3 linked regions of the Stegostoma tigrinum genome follow. The protein of the gene in region 1 purifies or fractionates together with the protein of each later gene. This does not show direct contact. Links are inferred from orthologs where the notes say so. Each region holds a gene or a part of one and is shown in the gene's direction. Other genes may lie near its edges.

What was found. The genes of interacting proteins can lie anywhere in the genome.
Region 2: the proteins of importin subunit alpha-5 (region 1) and arid2 purify together in Homo sapiens (co-immunoprecipitation; 3 studies listed by BioGRID and IntAct, with this or other methods). This does not show direct contact. The link is inferred for Stegostoma tigrinum from reciprocal best matches to the Homo sapiens genes KPNA1 and ARID2.
Region 3: the proteins of importin subunit alpha-5 (region 1) and rnmt purify together in Homo sapiens (co-immunoprecipitation; 4 studies listed by BioGRID and IntAct, counting the BioPlex papers as one, with this or other methods). This does not show direct contact. The link is inferred for Stegostoma tigrinum from reciprocal best matches to the Homo sapiens genes KPNA1 and RNMT.

Annotation. Positions count from the first base shown.
Region 1 is NC_081365.1:36,732,543-36,740,556, reverse strand, and holds the start of importin subunit alpha-5, read left to right. Parts: upstream 1-5,010; 5' UTR 5,011-5,125; intron 5,126-8,014. UniProt on the Homo sapiens protein: Functions in nuclear protein import as an adapter protein for nuclear receptor KPNB1. Binds specifically and directly to substrates containing either a simple or bipartite NLS motif.
Region 2 is NC_081371.1:57,499,500-57,506,941, reverse strand, and holds the start of arid2 (AT-rich interactive domain-containing protein 2), read left to right. Parts: upstream 1-4,438; 5' UTR 4,439-5,058; coding exon 5,059-5,162; intron 5,163-5,351; coding exon 5,352-5,445; intron 5,446-6,149; coding exon 6,150-6,247; intron 6,248-7,442. UniProt on the Homo sapiens protein: Involved in transcriptional activation and repression of select genes by chromatin remodeling (alteration of DNA-nucleosome topology). Required for the stability of the SWI/SNF chromatin remodeling complex SWI/SNF-B (PBAF).
Region 3 is NC_081358.1:118,294,490-118,301,806, forward strand, and holds the start of rnmt (mRNA cap guanine-N7 methyltransferase), read left to right. Parts: upstream 1-4,313; 5' UTR 4,314-4,423; coding exon 4,424-4,588; intron 4,589-7,317. UniProt on the Homo sapiens protein: Catalytic subunit of the mRNA-capping methyltransferase RNMT:RAMAC complex that methylates the N7 position of the added guanosine to the 5'-cap structure of mRNAs. Binds RNA containing 5'-terminal GpppC.

The DNA of each region.
Region 1 (8,014 bases):
CATCATCTCTCTGTCCACTGATCCATAGTGGAATTTGAATTCAACAAAAAAATCTGGAATTAAGAGTCTAATGATGACTGTGAATCCACTGTGAATTGTCAGGAAAACACCATCTGGCCACTAATGCCCTTTAGGGGAGGAAACTGCCGTGCTTACCTGTTCTGGTCTACATGCAATTCCAGAGGTATAGCAATGTGGTTGAATCTTATGGGCAATTAGGAAATAAATTTGGCCTAACTAGCAATGCCCTCATCCCATGAATGAATAATTTTAAAAAAAAACTCATTCAGGCTTGACAGACCTGTACTGACTTAGCCATTTTTACCACGCACTTTCAAGTACTCTGCAATGTCAACTTTAATAATGGACTCTAAAATCTTAACAATGACCGAGGTCAGGCTAACCAGCCTAAAGCTTCCTGTCTTCTGCCTCCCTCTCTTGTTACATTAGCCATTTTCCAGTCTTCTGGTACCTTCCCTGACTCAAACGATTCTTGAAAGATCACCACCAGTGCTTCCACAATCTCCTCAGCTATGTCCTTCAGAACTTTGGGGTGTAGTCCATCCAATCTAGGTGATTGATCCAGTTTCCCCAACATTATCTCCTTATTGATGGTCACTACACTCACCTCTGCCCTGATTCTCTTCAAGTTCTGGTATGCTATCTGTCATTAGTTTCTCTGCCATTTCTTTGTTCCCCATTATTACTTTTCCAACCTCATTTTCCAATGGTCCAATGTCCTGTATCCCTTACCTTTTATATAATTGGCAGTGGAAGAGTTCAATGTCGTGTCTGCATAAAATTATAAAACGTGAGGCTGGATGAACACAGCAGGCCCAGCAGCATCTTCGGGTCTAGGCCCGAAACGTCAGCTTTTGTGCTCCTGAGATGCTGCTGGGCCTGCTGTGTTCACCCAGCCTCACATTTTATTATCTTGGATTCTCCAGCATCTGCATCTGCAGTTCCCATTATCACTCTGCATAAAATTCATTGCGGTGAGGCGCAAGGGGATAAAACTATGTCCTTTGCTGAGGACCACATTTCTGGGGATAGTCCAGCCATCGATATGCATTAGAAACCCACTGACTCCCACAGTTATCAGAGATAATGGGAACTGCAGATGCTGGAGAATCCAAGATAATAAAATGTGAGGCTGGATGAACATAGCAGGCCAAGCAGCATCTCAGGAGCACAAAAGCTGACGTTTCGGGCCTAGACCGAACATCAGAGAGGGGGATGGGGAGAATGAACTGGAATAAATAGGGAGAGAGGGGGAGGTGGACCGAAGATGGAGAGTAAAGATAGGTGGAGAGAGTGTAGGTGGGGAGGTAAGGAGGGGATAGGTCAGTCCAGGGAAGACGGACAGGTCAAGGAGGTGGGATGAGGTTAGTAGGTAGCTGGGGGTGCGGCTTGGGGTGGGAGGAAGGGATGGGCGAGAGGAAGAACCGGTTAGGGAGGCAGAGACAGGTTGGACTGGTTTTGGGATGTAGTGGGTGGGGGGGAAGAGCTGGGCTGGTTGTGTGGTGCAGTGGGGGGAGGGGACGAACTGGGCTGGTTTAGGGATGCAGTAGGGGAAGGGGAGATTTTGAAGCTGGTGAAGTCCACATTGATACCATTGGGCTGCAGGGTTCCCAGGCGGAATATGAGTTGCTGTTCCTGCAACCTTCAGGTGGCATCGTTGTGGCACTGCAGGAGGCCCATGATGGACATGTCATCTAGAGAATGGGAGGGGGAGTGGAAATGGTTTGCGACTGGGAGGTGCAGTTGTTTGTTGCGAACTGAGCGGAGGTGTTCTGCAAAGCGGTCCCCAAGCCTCCGCTTGGTTTCCCACAGTTATCTTGACTATACACCCTCACACCCTGCTTTCCATAAGGACTCCATCCCCTTTTTTCAATTTATCTGCCTACATCGAATCTGTTCTGATGATGCTACCTTCCGCAGGGGATTTCAAATGTCCACCTTTTTCCTCAATTGAGGATTTCCTGCTACTGTGGTTGATGGGGGTCCTTACCCCTATTTAACCCATCCCTCACACTTCTGCCGTCATCCATGCTCTTCCCTCATAACGATAGTGTCCCAAGGTCCTCACTTACCACCCCACCCCTGGTCCACTCCTCCCTCCATTTCCGAAACCCCTATGGCACCTTCCCATGCAATTACTGAAGCTCTAACACCTGCTCCTATACCTCCTCCCTCCTTGCTTTCGGATACCCCGACACACCTTCCAGCTAAAACAGCAATTTACCCGCATTTCATTCAAATCTAGTCTACCATATTCACTGTTCACAATGTCGTCTGCTCTACACTGGGGACATGAAATACAGACCACATGACTGTTTTGCAGAACACGTAGACTCTATTTATAAAAATGACACTCAGCTTCCAGTTGCTTGCCACCACCATGTTTCAACACCAATATTTCTGTAGTAGGTCTGCTGCAGAGTTCCAGGGAGCCTCAGCACAAGCTTGAAGAACAACATCTCATTTTCTGCTTGTGGACCCTGTAACATCTCAGACTCAACATCAATTTCCAGAACTTTAAAGCCTAATTCAATATTTCCATTTTTTAAAAATCCACCCCCATGCACAGTTCTGTCTTGACATAGAGTAATAATGTTATACGGCAGGGAAACAAACCCTTTGGTCCAATTCATCCATGCCGACCAGCTATCCTAAACTGATCCAGTCCCATTGCCAGCATTTGGTCCATATTACTTTAAACCCGTCCTACTCATGTAACCATCCAGATGTCTTTTAAATGTTGAAATTGTACCAATCTTCCCCCACTTCCTCTGGCATTTTGTTCCACACACAGACCACCCTCTGCATGAAAATGTTGCCCCTCAGGACCCTTTTTAAATCTTTCCCCTTTCACCTTAAGCCCATGCTCCATAGTTTTAGACTCCCCTACACTGGGAAAAAGACTTTGTCTATTCAGCCTATCTATGCTCTTCAATTTTATAGACCTCTATAAGGTCAGCATTCAGCCGCTGATGCTCCAGGGAAAATAGCCCCAGCCAATTCAACCTCTTCCTTTGCCCAAACTCTCCAATTTCAGCAACATCCTTGTAAATCTTTTCTGAACCCTTTCAAATTTAACAACATCTTTCCCATAGTAGGGAGATCAGAATTGAACACAGTATTCTAAAAGTGGTCTAACCAATGTCCTGTACAGCTGCAACATGACATTTCAACTCCTGTACTCAATGGAGTAAAGCTGCCTTCACCACGCTGTGTACTTGGAACTCCACTTTCAGGAAACTATGCACCATACTTCCCAGGACAGTATAAGTTCTTGCCTTGGTTTGCCATATGAAAATACAATACCTCACGTTTATTTAATTAAACTCATTTGCCACTCCTTGGCCCATTAACAATCTGATCAAAGAGCCACTGCGCTCTGAGGTAACCTTCTTTGCTGTCTGCTACACTGCCAATTTTGGTGTCATCTGAGATCTTACTAACCATACCTCTTAAATTCACATCCAAATCATTTATATAAGCAACGAAAAGCAGTGGACCCAGCACTGATCCTTGTGGCACACCACTGGTCACTGGCCTCCAGTGCAAAAAACAATCTTCATCCACTGTCTCCCACCTAGGAGCCAGTTTTGTATCCAGGTTGGCTAGCTCCCTATGGATTCCATGTGATCTAATCTTGCCAACCAGTCTACCATGCAGAACCTTGTTGTGGTTGCTTCTAGCACTGGAAACTCATTCCCATACCTATTATCACATTAATTAGTTTGATTTCAACACTGCTACTCTCCTACTCTCAGCTCTCATTACCACTTACAGACAGTAAGGACTGCAGATGCTGGAAGCTAGAGTCAATAAACGTGCAGCTGGAAAAGTACAGCAGGTCAGATAGCATCCAAAGAGCAGGGAAGTCAATGTTTTGGTCCTGACAAAGGCTTTTGGCCCAAAACTTTGACTTCCATGCTCTTTGGATGCTGTCTGACCTCTCATTACCACTTACTCAGCTTCTATTCTGTCCTGGCTCACTAATAATAGTCTCCTAACTGTTCACCCCTCTCATATCTCTCTCTCTGGGCTCCATCTCCACCTGTCCGCTCAACTCTGCCCTGCGTCCCCCAAATCTGATCGTCAGCAATAAATACCACATTTTCTTAGCTGCTATCAGTTCTGATGAAGAGTCACCGGACTCGAAGCATTAACTCTGCTTTCTCCCCACAAATGTTTCCAGAATTGGTGTGTTCCACCAGCAGTTCCTGTTTTTGTTTCTGATATCCAGCATCTGCAATTCTTCGTTTTATCTTCAAGAGTGGAAAATGTCTATTCCAGACTTGCAAGTTCCATTCCACCGCTTCCAGCCCCATAATAGAAGGGAAATTGTTAAATTTGGAAATCTGAAAGAAGCACATAAAAATGCTGGAAATCATCAGAAAACCATGATAAGAAGTGGCAATTACAGACGGGTCGCAACATTTGACAGATTCAGCTGGCATCTCTTCTGTCAGACTCCTCACCCCCGTCCCCTAAAAGCAGCGAGCCCCGCAGCGCAATATCTCCAACATTTGGGGGTGTTCAGTCCCCAGTCCATTCATTCCTTGCGTTTTTGAGACATTCGCAACAAATGGCATTAACCGCAACGCTGCCGGAACCCGCGTGAAGCAGATGTTCCAGAGATAATAGGAACTGCAGATGCTGGAATCTGAGATAACGAGGTTTAGAGCTGGATGGACACAGCAGGCCAAGCAGCATCAGAGGAGCAGGAAGGCTGACGTTTCGGACCGAGACCCTTCTTCAGATATGGGGGGAAGCTCTACACTTTGTTATCGTTGAAGCAGACATCGGTTCTGTGGACGTTCCGAAGTATCGAGCGTGCGCAGTGGAGAAAGTGGATTGCATCCTCACGGGAGCCCGTGACCTAACAAGACCAGAGCGAGCATGCGCAGTACGCGTGCGCAGCTAGGATGAGGGCGTCATCAACACTTGGGGGGGTGGTGACGCGTGTGCATGCTGTTGCGAAAGTGCGCGTGCGCGATAGGGAAGTGTCTTGAATTTACGCTTGCGCGGCCGGTTGGCTGTCGGCTTCTGAAAGCACCAGGAGGTGGAAGTGAAAGAGTGCGGCTCTGTGCAGTAAATACAGAAGAGCTAGCTAGTAAGTTAAAGTTGCTTTGTACTGCTTAAAACATTGTTGAGAAATTGGATGTAAGCAGTGGAAGTTGAGCTTTGTCAAAGAAAACACTGCTGTTCTACTGACTGATTTGAGGTGTTAAAATTCCGGCGTGGGCCTAAAGTGGGTGGGAGCCACGGGGTTGTCATCAATTTAAACTGATTAAATAGCAGGCAAGGGTGGCTCTGAACAAATCTTCCGGGATATTTTGTTATCGGAGGTTTCATTCGGTTTTTATCTTGACGGATTTGTTTCAGTGATTTTTGTTTTTTGACATTCGTTTCTCTGAATCCGCAAATAGGACTTAAATGCGTTTCCACATGCTTTCTGTTCCGAGTTTTAATTTAAAGCACTGACAATAACGTTCCCTAATTCTGTTATGTAATATAGTGTCTAAAGTACAGTTTGTGAATTGTATTGAAGTTCGCCTGTGATTGTCATATTTGGGCCTGATATTGCAATTCTGAAGATGTTGGATGAATGATAATCCAGGTGTGTGTTGTGCTATACCTTTTCAAAAAAAACTGATCACAATACATAATTATTAGATTCCATTTAAAAGGATTAAAGTAGCTTGTTAAATAGCTCCTGTGCCTGAATCTACTTTAAATTAATTTACTGTTGGATTTTGGATGGCAACCTGGAGGTCAAAAAGATTCCAGTTTGCCTGCTTTGTTAGGGATAAGTAACTGAATTTCAGTGAATGTAATTTTTTTTTATCCAGTGTCAAACTTTAACTCAGTAAGTCAAATGCTCTGTATTGTGGGTGCACAGCTTTTGTTGTAATCAAAATGTTTTATAAAGGAAAGCTTCAGGAGGAACATTAGACTATGTTTTCCATTAGCTAGTAGTGTTCTAATTTTAATAAAAATACAAACTACTTGTTCTAGTAAGGATGTACTTTTACCTGGTAGATTTGTAGTAACTAATCATTTTCATGCTTATTTTTAAGTTATTGTATTTCTAAAGATACACAAACTGCCTGGAGGAGTGACTGGTGCTGTTGACATGCTGTGCCCAAGAAAGTATTAATAATGTGAATTTATTAGAGGACAAGATCAATATTGGTAATTTTTCTTCCTCAAAAACTCTGATAATTATGTGATATGCAAAAGAGAGGATAATTATTTGATTTAAGACCATAAAACACAGGAGTGGAAGTAAGACTATTTGACCCATTGAGTCCACTGTGCCATTTAATCATGGCTGATGGGCATTTCAACTCCATTTCCCTGCACTCTCCTGGTAGCCCTTGATTCCTTGTGAGATAAGAATTTATTGATCTCTGCCTTGAAGGCATTTAACGTCCCGGCCTCCACTGCACCCCGTGGCAATTGAACATAAACGCAGAAAATAGAAGAAGGAGTTGTCTATTCAGCCCTTTTGAACCGGTTCCATCATTCAGTATGATCATGGCTGATCATCTAATTCAGTCTGCTTTCTCCTTTTATCTTCTGGTCCCTGTGTAGCCCTAAGGATTGTATTTAATTCCTTCAGAAAACATTCAATGTTTTGACCTCACCTGCTTTCTTGGACAGAATTGCACAAGCTCAGCAGTCTCTGGGTGAAGAGATTTCTCCTCATTTCAGTTCTACATGACCTACCTCTATCTTTGAACTCTTGGTTCTAGACTCCCCAGGCATTGGGAAGCATCCTCCTTGCATTTATGCTGTCTAATCCTGTTAGAATCTTGTAAGCTTCTGAAATCTTGTTCTAAATGCTGGTGAATATAGTCCTAACAGATCCGGTCTGTCGTCATGTTGGTCTTTCTGTCCCAGGGACTGGTCCAGTAAACCCATGTTGCAGTGCAAGATCAGAAGCTCCTTCCTCTGATAAGGAGACCAGAACTGCACATAATGCTGTGTGGTCTCAGTGCGGCCCTGTACAATTACAGCAAGACATCCCTGCTCCAATACTTGAATCCTCTTGCTACGAAGGGCAATTTACCTGGATGTGAGTTTGCTCGCTGAGCTGGAAGGTTCATTTTCAGATGTTTTGTCACCATTCTAGGTAACATCATCAGTGAGCCTCCGGTGAAGCGCTGGTGTTATGTCCTGCTTTCTATTTATCTGTTTAGGTTTCCTTGGGTTGGTGATGTCATTTCCTGTTCTTTTTCTCAGGGGATGGTAGATGGGCTCCAAATCAGTGTGTTTGTTGATGGAGATCCGGTTGGAATGCCATGCTTCTAGGAATTCTCGTGCGTGTCTCTGTTTGGCTTGTCCTAGGATGGACGTGTTGCCCCAATCAAAGTGGTGTCCTTCCTCATCTGTATGTAAGGATATTAGTCATAGTGGATCATATCTTTTTGTGGCTAGTTGATGTTTGTGTATCCTGGTGGCTAGCTTTCTGCCTGTTTGTCCAATGTAGTGTTTGTCACAGCTCTTGCAAGGTATTTTGTAAATTACGTTTGTTTTGCTTGTTGTCTGCATTGGGTCTACATTGGACAAACAGGCAGAAAGCTAGCCACCAGGATACACGAACATCAACTAACCACAAAAAGACGTGTATCCTGGTGGCTAGCTTTCTGCCTGTTTGTCCAATGTAGTGTTTGTCACAGCTCTTGCAAGGTATTTTGTAGATGACGTTTGTTTTGCTTGTGGTCTACATTGGACAAACAGGCAGAAAGCTAGCCACCAGGATACACGAACATCAACTAGCCACAAAAAGACATGATCCACTATCACTAGTATCCTTACATACATACAGATGAGGAAGGACAACACGTCCATCCTAGGACAAGCCAAACAGAGACACGCACGAGAATTCTTAGGAGCATGGCATTCCAACCAGAGCTCCATCAACAAACACGTTGATTTGGAGCCCATCTACCATCTTCTGAGAAAAAGAACAGGAAATGACATCACCAACCCAAGG
Region 2 (7,442 bases), on another chromosome or scaffold:
TATTTCAACATAATCATCATATTACTTCAAAAAAACAGCTAAATCTTGAGTTTCAGTTGAATTGTAGTCAAAGAAAGGACAAGTCTAATGGAGGTACACTAACTATGAAATAAGTAGTGTTGTCATGGCTGGTATGGAAGAGAGATAGTGGGCAAAAAAGAAAATACCATTTAAAGAACTGGAAGAAAAAGTATTATTTAATACTTGCAATGATAGAGTAAATAGAGTGTCTAGTCACAATCTTTGAAATATGCAAGTACGAAAGTGGTGCTAAATCTGCTGGCAAAAGAACAGAAAACTGACAGATTAATGAAATGTACTTTTTAGTGGGAAGATGTAAATGGTAACAACCTTCAACGTGTACGAAAATCATAGCTATTTGTCAGACTGTGGTCATGGTCACGTCTGTTCTCCTGGCCAGAAGGTTCACTTTCTGGATATGTGTCACAACACTGATCAGTTTGATTAAGAACATTACTGGATTTAGTTATGAGAGCCGCAATTATCAAAATGCTGACAGCACAGTGACCGGTGCTGTATGACAAGTACATGACAAAAGAGATTCCGCATGCCCGTGGGCACCCAAAATGTGAACGGGCATTCCACAAGCACTACTTTTTAGCAACTACTAACCAATGCATATTGTAGGCCATCCACTTTTGGAAACAATTTATCAGCAAGGAAGGTAACTCATACTCTCAACCAAAGGAACTTAGATTTTGGAACATTGTAATTTAAAGCTCCACGGAGAGGATAAAATTAGGTGTCCATTTTATGGATAGCAACTTCTCTAAAAAAATTGATTACTTCGATCAAAGGCACTGAAAGTTCCTCCACAAGATGTTTGTCATTTGCCATACACAACTAGGGTGAATTGCTTTTTCCTCCTGTTGGAGGAAGTAGATTAAATTATGCAAAACAAACTGTACTAGCATCTACAAACTTATCTGTGACTGGCCAAAAAGAGCTTAAGGAAACTTTGATACCATGAGCACATTATTTTAAACCACCAACCCAGCAGCTCAGCAAATTAAAACATCAAATGGCTGAGCCATTAGCTCACAAACTATTAAGATTTGATCATCAGAATCTAAGGGAGGCTATTATAACTAATTCAGCCACATTGGCCCGAGCATGAAAATGCATGAGCTTCTCATTGCTCTGCTACAAAGAATCCAAATTAGCAGAAATTTACAAAGGACATGGGGTTGGGGGCAAAGAGGAGCAGAAGCAGAAAGCAGGAGAGAAAGAAAGAAAAAACAGACAGGTTCCAGTCTTTACAAACCCACACTGGCATCAGGTCAAAAAAAAATGAAGTTTAGAAATCTGGGTTCCAAGTACATAACGTGCTATTTGTAATTTTCAAAAACAAACTAATTTATTAGCATCTAATCACAGCTGAAGATTAGTGACTTTCTCTACTGTTAAATTTGTACTTAAACTATATCCCCACCTCACTGAGAATTAATCACCTCATCAGGAATCTCCATTTTCCCTTTCAAGTCCTTCAATATGCCGACATCCAATGCACGAATGAGGTGAACTGCTGATTACTACACAACTGTCTAAATGTACTTCTAACAGTTGCCAATCTTTCTGTTAGTCTCACCACACTATCCCTTCATTTGTGGGATAGACTGATCTAACCATTGCAAAACCCACCCCTAATTCTCCAAGGTAGTTATGGTGAGAAGCTTCCTTGAACAGTTGGGTGTATCTACATTATAGGTCCCAGAGTCCAAATGTCAAAACCATCTTCTTTCTGTTAGCTATGATTCTAACAGCAAAAGCAGAGATTGTTCCTCCCAATTTGCATCGAGTCCAGTTTTACGAGGGATCCTCAATGCCACCTGGTTAAATGCAAGCCTGAAGTCAAGGGCAGTAACACTCACTTCCCCTCAACTTCAGCTCTTTTCTCTATGTCTGAGCCAAGGCCATAATGAGATCAGGAGCTGAGTAGGTGTGGTGGAACTCAAACAGAGCAATGAACTGGGTTTTGTTGAGTGCCATTTGACAGCACTGACCATGCCATGATTCATCCTTTAGGGTCCACAGCTTTTGCAGTACGCAGTTCTGTTAGCTGCTTCTTGAACATCACAGTCAATAGAACATATAATTGGCAGAAGTCTGACAACCTCAGGAGGTCACGTGTCTACTTAGCACTTCTGACTGAAGATGCTTGCAAATGCTTAAGCCAAATCTTTTGCACTGATGTGTTGGCCTCCAACTTATTTGCAGAACCACTTCCTCAAATGATCTGTTTAATTGTGCACCAATTGATGTGGAAGGACTGCACAGCTTACAGTTGGTTCTATTAGGCATGGGATTACTTAGCTCTATCACATGCAGTTTACACTTAAGCTTCGAAGGCTCACTGAAGATGTTACCTAGAATGGTGACGAAACGTCTGAAAACTAACCTTCCAGCTCAGCGAGCAAACTCACATCCAGAACCTCAACCTGAGCTACAAGTCTTCTCAAAACTTGCTATGTGTTGTTAAATTTTACACAAGTTTTTAAACATGTAAGGGGATGTGATAGCATGGTCGGTATGCTTGCTAGATGATTAATCCACAGATCCAGATAATGTTGAATAGTGGAATCTAAATTTGATAAAAATCTGGTATTAAAGAGTCTAATGATGACCACAAAATCATTGGCTGATTATCGAAAAAAAAACACTTATCAGGTTCACAAATGCCCTTCAGGGAAGGCAACTGCCCTACATGTGACTCCAGGCCTGCAGCGGTGTGGCTGATTCTTAAATGTCTTCTGGCAAATTCGGAATGGGCAATAAATGCTGGCCCACCCAATGACACCAAGTGTTGGAGGGGTTGTCAAAGAGGAGTCTCCAGTCCTGTGTCTAGGAGCACACATGGATCTTCATTCACAACTCTTTACTATGCATCATGAGGGGTGTTCCAAGTCAGTGTTACTGGAACACACTGCCTGCATCCCCAACCCCCCAGTCAAATACACTAATAGACAATAAGAAAAACTTGAGATAACAAGGTGTGGAGTTGGATGAACACAGAAGGCCAAGCAGCATCTTACTCCGTCTTCCCTACCTCCCCACCTACACTCACCTTTACTGGCCCCATCCCTGCTTCTAACTTGTCTGTCTCCTCTCCACCTATCTTGTCCTCTATCTATCTTCGATCCACCTCTCCTCTCTCCCTATTTATTTCGGAACACCCTTCCCCTCCCCCATTTCTGATGAAGGGTCTAGGCCCGAAACGTCAATAAAAAGCTTTACTGCTCCTAACATGCTGCCTGACACTCCTTATGCTCCATGGTAATTTCGATATGCCAATCCCTCCGTCAAGCGCTCAGGATGTTGTGGTAGAAGCATATACAAAGCGGTATGAATATTATCAAATGAAGATTCAATTCTTTTCCGCTTGACATTTGAGGGTCTCCGAGTACCTTGGAAGGATTTCGGACGAAGATAAGCTTCTGTTGTTTCCCTACACACGCATCTCCAATAATTCAACCCTCAGCCCGAGCACGATAAAGTAAGGGTCTAGGCCCGAAACACCAGCCTTCCTGCTCCTCTGATGCTGTGTTCATCCAGCCCTACACCTTGTTATCTCACAACAAAACCCACTGGTCCGGGATATCCCCGTTGATGAAAACACCTGCAAGTCAAAACAACTGCCTGCCCTGGGGCTCCCTGTCAACTTTTAAGCAAGAACAAGACTAAAAGTAAAGTACCCACGACTGTTTTTCACCAAAGCACACATTATTTTAAAGGAAGACCTATCATGTCACTCTAAAAGCCGAAAGGCAAAGAGCAAAGAAAATAATTAGAAGCATTAACTCTGATTTCTCTTCGCAGATATTGTCAGGCCCGCTGAACTTTTCCAGCGGCTTCAGTTTTTGTTTGACTTAACATCTCTCCCTTCACACGGAGGCTCACACAACACTGTTTCCAGCAGACGACGGCCACCACCTTCCTTTTTATAAACTATTTTTAAATAAAAACCACGAAAAAGATCGCAGCGCTGCGCCTTCTTCAAAGGAGTCCGCCTGATTTGAATAAAATCCTCGCTACACATAATAACAAATAAAAAGACACACATACTGTACGCATAAATACATACGAGTCAGCGTTTGTGCGGGAACCATAGGGAGAGAACCGAACGTCTCCTCAATCCCTGTTGGGCGCCGCCATTTTGTGAGCCGTTACCCCGGGACTGGGCGGGAAAGTGGGCGGAGGATGAAGCAGCGCGAGAGAAGGGGAAACTTGGAGGGGGAGGAGAGAGCAGCGCGAGAGGCGAAAGTGGGCGGAGTAGAGAGCGGCGCGGGCGGGGAGGAGGAAGATAGACGAGAGCTAGAGTGGGGGAGGGGGAAGGATCCGCGATGGGGGAGGGGTGTCGCGTAATGGTTGAATAGTGGCACCCCCTCCCGGGGCCCAGGCTGTGGTGGCCGGTTTGGTTGAGACGAGGCGCTATTGTTTCGCTTCTCCGAGGGAGGTTCGAGCTGCCGCCGGTGTTTCGGCCGCCAACAGCACCGCCGCTGTGTTTTCATTCCTTTCTCCCCCCCCCCCAAAAAATTATATATAAATGTGTGTGTGTGTGTGCGTGTTATGTTTTTTTTTGTCCTCTCCCGTGTATGAGTTAATGTTAAACTGCATGGAGCCGCTGCAGCCCGTCTGAAAAGAAAAATATATTTATACCATAAATACACACACTTATATTGTCTACCACATTAACATACAATAGAGAACAAGATGTAAGTTGTTTTTTTGTGTGTGTTTTTTTTGGTTGAGAGGAGATCGAAGAGTGCAGCGAGTGAGTAAAAGCGAGTCTTTGCTCTTTTTTCCTCTTTTTTTCTCTCTCTCTTAAACTTTCGCACTCGCTCCATCAATGACTGAGCGGCGGCGGCGGCGGACCGGCTCTCCTTCCAGACATTGACTAAGTTCCCCGAGGCTTTTTATTTTTATTTATTTATCCTTTACGCCCACCCCCCACCCCTTAAAAAAACTCTCTCTCTCTCTTTCTCTCTCTCTCTCTCCCTCTCTCTCTCTCTCTCTCCCCCCCCTCACACACATACAACAATGAAAAAGATGGCAAATTCGATGGGGAAAATGCAGCCGTCAGACCCGAGGAGAAAAAGGCAGGCGTTCCTGGAGGAGCTGCGGCAGTTTCACCACAACAGAGGGTAAGGATTTTAAACACCCCCCCCCCCCAACCCCGAAATTTTTATTTATAATTTAAGGGGAAAAACCCGGGGGATACGTTGGGCGAAACTTTGGACGGGCGCTTTGGTGAAGAGGAGGTGAGGGTCTGATTTTATTCTTCTTTATTTCTACCCCCCCACCCCACCCCACCACAACCACTTCTTGTTCAGGACGCCTTTTAAAAAGATCCCAATAGTTGCCGGAAAGGAGCTGGATCTTCACGCTCTCTACACCAGAGTCACCAGCCTGGGAGGATTCGCCAAGGTGAATATCTTGTGTCTGTTGTGTTTAATTTAATTTCTCGCCGTACGCGCGTCTTAAAAATCTGTTATCACCACCAGCACCCCCCCCCCAACGTTTCCTTTTTGGAAAACCCGCTCGGAAGGGCTGTAGTTTTATTTTTAAAGGTTTACAAAGGAAAAGATTTCTGTCGTGTGTGTGTGTGTGTGTGTGGCAGTGAAGCTGTAAATGGCAGTTGCCTGTCTCTGGCCTGGCGTTGCAGTTGCTGCGGCTGCTTCACTGCGCGCACTTCAGCCAAGTCAAAATTAGCGGGCATGCTTAACATCGATAATCGTGAGTGTGCCTGGGGTAGGAAATGCTCTTCAGGGGACAGGCTCGCACCACTCGTTTGCCTTTCTTTTACTCGCCGCAGCGGAGGGGACGGAGCTCTCCGCTGTGTCAGGCTTCGTGGTTGAGGGGGAAAATCGTAGGCCTCACGTAGGCCCGTAGGGTGGCCCGAACGTTTGAAAATGCGAAGACTTGTCGACCCCCCTTTTTTGTCTTCTGAACCAGGAAAGTGTTGCAAAGTTTTTGTTTTTTTTCGCTCCTGACCCGTTTTTTTTCTTTCTCAGGCAACATTGCGGCGCTGTTCATGTTGTTTTAAAGCCTTAGAAGGAACAGATGGTATATTCTGCTATCTGATAACGTGTCTGCATATTAATCAGGATTATTGTGTTTTTTTGGTGCAGGTAACTGACAAGAACAAATGGTCACAGATAACGGAGGAATTAAACTTTCCGAAAGGTTGTCCGAATGCATCATTTGCCTTAAAACAATATTACTTACGGTGAGCTTTATAATGCATTTTATGTTCGGTTCAAGTCGATTCTTGCTATAGCTGTTCAAAGTTGGGAACAAGGGATTTAATTTAGAGAAAATAGTGATACTATTGCAATCGTACCTTCTTATTTTTCCTCTTGAAAACGACATTTATTTTACTTTTTGTAGAAATGAAATAATAATGCTTTTTAAGTTTTTGAAATTGATGTTTGAACTGTTGTTTCGTTTTTGGGGTTTTGAAGTATTATGGCGAGTTGATCTAAAATGTATTAAACTTACAGAGCAAGAACACTGTACAGGTGTGACCCAGTTTTACGGTAGTTTATAGTTGAGGCGTTCTGCAGCATTTACAGCAGTTCAGAAACTACCTGGAAGGAAGTAGCATACGTGAAACAACGCAGGTGTTTTCTGTTGGTAAATTTTGTTGCCAGAACAGAATTTTTCCAAAAACCAATCAGTACTCCAGCTTTTTTCAAACTTTTCATCAGGGAGATTTTGACAGTAATGCTTGATACAGTATGTATCTTTTTTATTTAAATGTAAATCCATAACTCTTTCAAAACAGTAAAACCAGTTTGATGTAGAAGGGCTATATTTTGTAAATTGGTTTAAAAGTGTGTAGTGTCTTGTTTTGTCCCAGTATTTTTATTTCCTTTCTTTTGCAAGGATGGTTAATTTTTTTTGAAAGTTATGGAAATGAAATAATTTAATGGTGGATTCACTGAGCTGAGGCAATTTTTCCACTGGATGTTGGGATTGATGGGAAGTTTGTGGATAAGAATGAGGTGAAAAGGCAAATTTGGTTTAAGCATTATGAAGATGTCGTGCTTTGGGAGTACTTGGATTCTGAAATAGTTGGCTTTGTGCACTATTTCCACTCAATAGTGTTGTACAAATTTAGTGGTTCAAAATAAAATTAACATTTCAGAAGCCTTGAACAAGCAGTGCAGAAAATTTTGTCGTGATTAACTTGCACAACGTTTAAAATTTCCAGGTTAAGGTTCAATAACGGTTGCTTCTGTTCATTTCAATGATATTGTTTGTGTGTTCTAGAAAAGCTGCATCTGTTTGAATTCAAAAAAATTCGACAGCTTATCTGACAACTTTTGGGTAACTTGGTATGAGAATACTTGAATGTAATTTGGTCATATTTAAGTAATACAGCAGAGAGTATTCCAAATGGATTTGAGAGCATCTGTTGG
Region 3 (7,317 bases), on another chromosome or scaffold:
TATTAATGGTTTCTCTACTGAGACATCTCCCTCCTTAGTCTAATATAAATACAATCATCATTTGTTTAAAGTTTTGCGCTAATCTGTTCACCTATTTGGTGGTTCTATTAGAATTTTAAAAATCATAATTAAGACCTAAAATAATACCCTCTTAGCTATCCAATTAGGTCAGAGAATCTACTGCAATGGTTTCTGTTTCTGTCCTCAGTCATTGAAATCATCCAAGGAAGACAAAAGCCATTGGTTTCAGCTTCTGCCACAGACTCGTGTTTTCTCAACCCCAATTCCTCTCACTGGCAATTCAATTTCTGTTTTTGGCTACTATCCCATGATGACCCAGACTGTTTGCAACCTATGTGGCCCTGAGCTGTCCTTCTGACATCCATCAGAAAAACATAAATTGTTGTTTAGTGCCTCTGCCTCATCCCATCCACTGCTAAGTTCTTATCTGTTGTTACTTCTATCTCAACTATTCTAATGCTGTCTTAGTCATCTGACCATCTTTTACTTTCCACTCACCTGAACTCCTCTAAAACTCAATTGCCTAATTTCTAACCATTCCCAGCTTAACACCAACCATGCATCCCTGTGCGCAATGATCAACATTGGTTCCTGGTCCACTAACATACCAAACATTAAATTCTCACCTTATACTGAATTTGCTCAGTGGGTTTGGACTAGCCCTCATGCAGCTCTGTGAGCTCTGAATCACTGCGCGATGAATTACACAAAGGTAAATTGGTCTTTTAGCGTTGTAGCCTCAATGATATATTGAACAGGCATGAAAATAAAGCTAATTGATCATAAAGGCCCATCAAAGACTCTCCAACTGCCAGCAAGGAAACTTTCACTTTTGGGGGTTCAGAGAGTCTGAGAGAGTAGCTGATGAAAAACTGACAACTCATGAGGACTCAGAAGTGATAGCAGAGCAGTAAATTGACAAGCACAGAGCAAACCATTTCTTTCTTACAGATTTGTACTTTATGCATTTGCATACACAAATAACATTTCATTAAGGAAGAATGCTTTTGAGAAACTTCTAAGCTGTTCACATGCTATGCTGGAAACATTGTAGAGGTGTAGCTCTGGTGTATCTGTGGACATCAGACGGTTTTAAAATCTGCAGTCTAACTTGCAGCATCTCCGTGGATCTCTGCAGGTAAGACATTGAACTCAAATGCAAGTATGTTTCCTCATGACTAGTCATCAAGACATTGGCTAGCCAAAGTGTGGAGGTGGACATATAAATTGGAGGAACATCTGATCGGGCGTGTCAATTATCTTCTTGTCAGCTCATTAAATGTGCAGGTGGGGTATGACAATGGATTTTATGGGCAGCAAGTTCTGAAACCTGCGGTGACTTCTGTCCTTCAATGTCCAGGTGCCATATTTAAAAGGCACCTGGGCAGAACCTCTCTCTTCAACCGGGGAGCATCATTCAATCTCTGCTCATCACTCTCCCACCCCTGATGATGTGAGACAGCAGGCGGAAGCAAAATGTGCCAATCCCTCCCTTGATCTTCTGAAACCTGTCCAGGAGAGAAGGAAAGTTCTGTTCCCAACGAATAGCAACAGAAGTCCTTTCTGACCAATGACAGCAGCCTGCACGGTGTTAGCTGCAGAGGTCAGCATCTGTGGAAAACTCAAAAGAAGCTGACTCCGGTGTCATGAGGATAAATGATCAGCTGTGCTCTGCTATGCTTTGTACCACTGACTACTCAGTGCTTTATTCTCCTATGCATGTGAGTTAGCATTGTAAGGTTGCCACTGCAGAGGGTTATCACATGAGAGGTTGGGTGCCAGATATCTCCATCAGATGCCCAATGTTCAATCAATGTGTTTTACTCATATGTATTAATACTGGTACTACAGTGGACACAAAAATAAAAGATAGCCTTTTGGTTTGAGTTCCTTTTGAGGTGAGCCTCCTCTGTCAGTGTTGATGGCATTAGCCAGTGTGGCTATCTCTCTTCAGCAGGTGTGCTGGCCCAGTCAGGCTGTAGCTCACCATTTAACAACTGCATATTACTGAGACTTATGAGCTGATCAAGGTGGATTAGCTTCACCTCTAACTATGTAAGCATTTGCACAAAGAAATGGCTTGATAATGAAGGAACCAAACAATTGAAAAGGTTTGTACCCTCCAGAGCTGAGAGAAAAAAGTCTGCTTCACAAGGTAGACACCTCATGACACTTTCTGAAGAAGGGTCTCGACCCGAAACATCAGCTTTCCTGCTCCTCTGATGCTGCTTGGCCTGCTGTGTTCATCCAGCTCTACACCTTGTTATCTCATGACACTTGTGTTTCCTGTTTTTGGCTAACAAGATTAAACCTGTAAATATAATTCCAGCAGACTGGAATGTTATTGAGAATTAATGACATGCTCATGAATGCAAAACAGATTCCTGGCCACAAACCCTAAAAGGTTCTGAGAAGTCAATTGAAAAGGTTCAGCATGCCATTGGGGAAAATTGTATTTTTGCTTCATGCCCAATTAAAGTTCCCCACCCAACCTTCTAATAGCCTCTTCTGGGTAAGGAAAATTCGACCTTGAGGTCGAACTGAAAGATTTTCACTCTTGGTTTTGAGAAGCTAAGCTATGGGCTTTGATTCCAAAGGTTTGCAGTTCAGTTCTCACACAGGTTCATGTGTGCTCATGTTATCCTGAACCTGGCACATGGTGGCAGGACTTGTAGGCATCGCTGGCGAGGCCATCATTAATTGCCCATCTCTAGTTGCCCTTGACAGGGTGGTGGTGAGCTGTCTTCTTCAACCACAGCAATCCTTGTGTTGCAGGTAGACCCACAATGTTGTTAGGGAGGGAACTCCAAGATTTTGACCCAGCAGTACTGAGGGAACAGTGGATTGGAGGGGAACTCACAGATGGTGGTGTTTCCACGTAACTGGTGTCCTGGTTCTTTGAGATAGAAGTGGTCACAAATTTAGAAGGTGTTGTCTAAGGAGCTTCGTTGGTGATTGATGGAATGTATATCTGTTGAGCCAATCAAGCAGGCTACTTTGTGCTGGACGTACTTGAGAATGTCATCTTTGAGAGTGTGAGCACTTTAAATGAATCTTCCACTATTGATCGAGTGACAGATTTTCAAAATGAAAACCCCGTACATGTTGAAAAGCCGTGAGATGGTGGGGTTGTTTAGAGATTGACACATTGGGTGAACAACAACAGGAGCTTGGGGGAGGTGGAGTTGAAGTTGGCAGATCATGAGATGTCATCTCCTGGCATATGCCCAGCCAGAGTTGGCAACACTTCTACATATTGTTGTTTAAAAGGTGTTGGTGCCAAAAAGGTAGTGACAACTCCTTTGAAGATATGGCGGGGAGAAGGGAGAGAAAACAGAAGCACTTTGAAAATATACTGGTCCAAGCTGGACCATTTCAGACCATCACTCGCCATTCCCAAGTTTAACTGTTTTTGTTTTGTCTTTGTGGCGGCTGTATCCAATGCAACATGATGCTATCAGTGAAACTGAAACACCATTTCACAGAGGTATTGTCTCCAGCAGACCCGGTTTATATTTCGGAGATAGCAAGAACGGGAGTCAGATCAATACAGCATGGAGCTGCAGGAACACAGCACGTCACGCAACCTCAGAGTCGACATTTCAGCTCAGAACCATTCATCAGGACTGGGGAGGGGGAAGGGAGCTGGGAATAAACAGATGGATGGTGACAGTTGGATGTAGGTAGGGGGTAGTGGAGATTGGTCAGTTGGCAAGGTGGGGCAGATAGGTGGGAGAGAAGATAGGTTGTGTCAGGTCAAGGAAGTGGGGAGAAGAGGAAGAGTTGGACATGGGATGGACCGTAGTTGTGGAGGGGTGCAGTGGTGGTATGGTGTACTGACCTCTAAATTGTGGAGGCCTATCTTCTCCTCTATTCATCTTCGATCTGCCTCCCCCCTCTCCCTATTTATTTCAGAATCCCCTTCCCCTCCCCCATTTCTAAAGAAGGGCCTAGGCTTGAAACGTCAGCTTTCCTGCTCCTCTGATGCTGCTTGTCCTGCTGTGTTCATCCAGCTCTACATGTTGTTATCTCAGATTCTCCAGCATCTGCAGTTCCTACTATCTCTGACACATTGGGCTCCACCTCATTTAAAAAAAAATATATGTACCTCATTACCTCTTGAGTGATTTGGGTCGACCTGCGGGGCTGGAAGGTGCTATGTCAATGTACAGATAAGGGTCCCTCCTCACGGAGATGCTCTTGCGATGGATTCAGGAGGCGGTTTCAATGGCAACCGTAGCCATGGGCATGAACCGGAAAGAGTGCTCGGGGTTGTCAGAGGTCGCCTGCCAACCGGAAGTGGTGGGGTCGCAGTGAAGTTGCCGTTGGAAGCATCAGCAGGAAGAGGAGGCCTCGCCGGGAGCCAGCGAGCGATTGATTTGTCTTGCTCTCTCGAGGAAAGATGAGTCACTCGGCCGAGGAGGATCGCCGTCCGTCGTCGGGGAGCGATCCCGGCAGCAGCAGCAGCAGCGGCGGCGGAGGAGGAGTCCGGAATCCCGAGAAACGGAGACTGCAGCGGGAGGACGACGAGGATGAGGAGGATCGGGTGAACGGGCCGAAAGTCCGGGTATGGATCGTGGGGACGAGAGAGAAGTTGGGGGTCTGGGTCTGGGTCTGGGGCTTGGGGTGGAAGGGTTGGCAATGATACTCCATGTACAGAATCCCGTCTCCTTTATCCCGTATCCCCTAACCCCTAACTCATCCTGTCCCGTGGCTGTAATCAACATCGATTGCACTGTGAGGGAGTAGGGCACCCTCGGTGTGGGGTGAAGAAGGGAAGGGATGGGGACTGGAAGTTGGCAACTTTGTGTTGAGAGCTGGTTCTACACCCCCCCCCCCCCCGTGTATGCATGGGGAGGGGGTGGTGGGAAGTGTGTAGGGAAGGTCTAGGCCCGAAACGTCAGCTTTTGTGCTCCTGAGATGCTGCTTGGCCTGCTGTGTTCATCCAGCTTCACACTTTGTTATCAGGGATGTTTACACTGGTTGGTCTGTGCTGTGTGGTACATACCTATGGCTGTACCCGCTGAATGGCAGAGTGGCTGTGTTTTCATTAAGGTGCAGGAGGGGCTGAAGGGCATGCTCTGACTGGCTGGAATGTGCAGTGGTGGGGAGACATGATTTTGGTTTCTAAAGATTTTCGTTTAAGAAGGAATTCTGGTAAGAGCTGTAATATATTTTCTAGTCAATGCTGATTTAAACCTGGAACCTGGTTCAGAGGCAGCAGGAGCCCTTGGTAAAACTTCTAAAATATACATATATTTTAAAATCAACCTATGCAGCCAGTGGGACTTGATCCTGGTATAGAGATGGGGACACTACCACTACTGCAAGACCTCAGTAAAAACTCTAATAACATTGACAAAGAAAAAGTCCTCCGGTATATGTTTCCTTCCCTGTTGACTGATGTTGCTGATTACCTGAGGCAAACAATGAGGCTCGGTGGGAAATGCAGGGTTACAAGGATTGGGGGGGGGGGGGGGGGGGGGTGGTGGTGGTGAGGGGGGGGGGTGAGGGAGGGAGGGAGGGAGGGAATCGAGTCTAGGTGGGATGTTCTTTGGAAGTGTGGATTCAATGAGCCAATGGGTTGAATGGTCTGCTTCCACACTATAAGAGTTCTATGATTTTACGATACCTGGTAGGCTCTGGTAATTTTAGTCATTCTGTAAGTTCGTGTTTCTTTTTATTGCACTGATGTAGTACAAACTGTTAAGAGAATTAGGGGTGAGAAGGGAAACACTGTCACTGATAAATGGTCTAATAAATGTTGTGAGTTCAAGGTCAGAGAGATGCTGAAAGTTATTGAAAAATCCACTCAGTTTGCAGATGTGTTGGACAGTGACCCAAAAATCCAATAAGTTCCTACAAGTTAAGAGACATATAGCTACGACTGGAGACCCAACTTGTATTGAAGTAAGGTGATGGGATTGAAATTTCTTTCTTTACTAATTCTCAATCCCTCCTTTGCTACTTAGCTGCATCTCTTGACAAACAAAACAAATGGGCTTGATAGAATAGTTCTTGGGATGATTTTTCTCTTGGGGAGTTGAGGTTGAAGGGGGCACAGCCTCAGGTTAAATGGCTAGCTGTTTAGGCCTGAGATCAGGAGGAAGTCCTTTAGATCTTTGGATTTCTATTCTAGAGAGCTGTGAATGCACAATCATTGAGTATATCCAAGATGGAAGTGGATACAGCTTTTGCAAAATGGAAATGAGATCTGTAATAGTGCAGGGAAATGGAATCAAAGTAGAAGTTCTGTCATGATTATATTAAAATGAGTGAAAGCTTGAATGGATTGAATGGTCTGCTTTGGCATTTTGGAAGAAGTAACATGACAAAGGAGTACTCGAATGGCACAGCACAATGAAGCTCAGAGAAAAGGAAAGATCTTGGGGTGCTTGCAAACAGATCCCTGAAAGCAGCAGGACAGGTGTTCATTAGGGTAGTTTAGAAGGCATATGGCTCGAAGGTCTCTTCTGTGCTGTCTGACTGAGTGGAAAGATTTCAGTCAAGATAGACATCTTACAGAACACTTTTGATTTCATTTTTAAAAATTTTAATGACATTAATGATAGCAGACTCTTGTGTTAAAAATACAAAAACAAACAAAATCCAGAATTAAGATAACAAAGTGTGAAGCTGGATGAACACAGCAGGCCAAGCAACATGTTAGGAGCGCAAAAGCTGACGTTTCGGGCCTAGACCCTTCATCAGAAAAGGAGGATGGGTAGAGGATTCTGAAATAAATAGGGAGAGAGGGGGAGATGGATCGAAGGTGGAGAAGAGAGTATAGGTAGGGAGGGGATAGGTCAGTCCGGGGTGGATGGACAGGTCAAGAGAGCGGGATGAGGTTAGTAGGTAGGAAATGGAGGTGTGGCTTGAGGTGGGAGGAGGAGATTGGTAAGAGGAAGAACAGGTTAGGGAGGCGGGGACACGCTGGGCTGGTTTTGGGACGCAGTAGGGGGAGGGAAGATTTTGAAGCTTGTGAAGTCCACATTGATACCATTGGGCTGGCGGGTTCCCAAGCGGAATATGAGTTGCTGTTCCTGCAAGCTTTGGGTGGCATCGTTGTGGCACTGCAGGAGGCCCAGGACGGACATGTCATCTAAGGAATGCGAGGTGGAGTTGAAATAGTTCGCGATTGGGAAGTGCAGTTGTTTATTGCAAACCAAGTGTAGGTGTTCTGCAAAGTGATCCCCAAGTCTCCGCTTGTTTTCCCCAATGTAGAGGAAGCCACAACTGGTACAGCGGATGCAGTATACCACATTGGCAGATTTGCAGGTGAATATCTGCTTGATG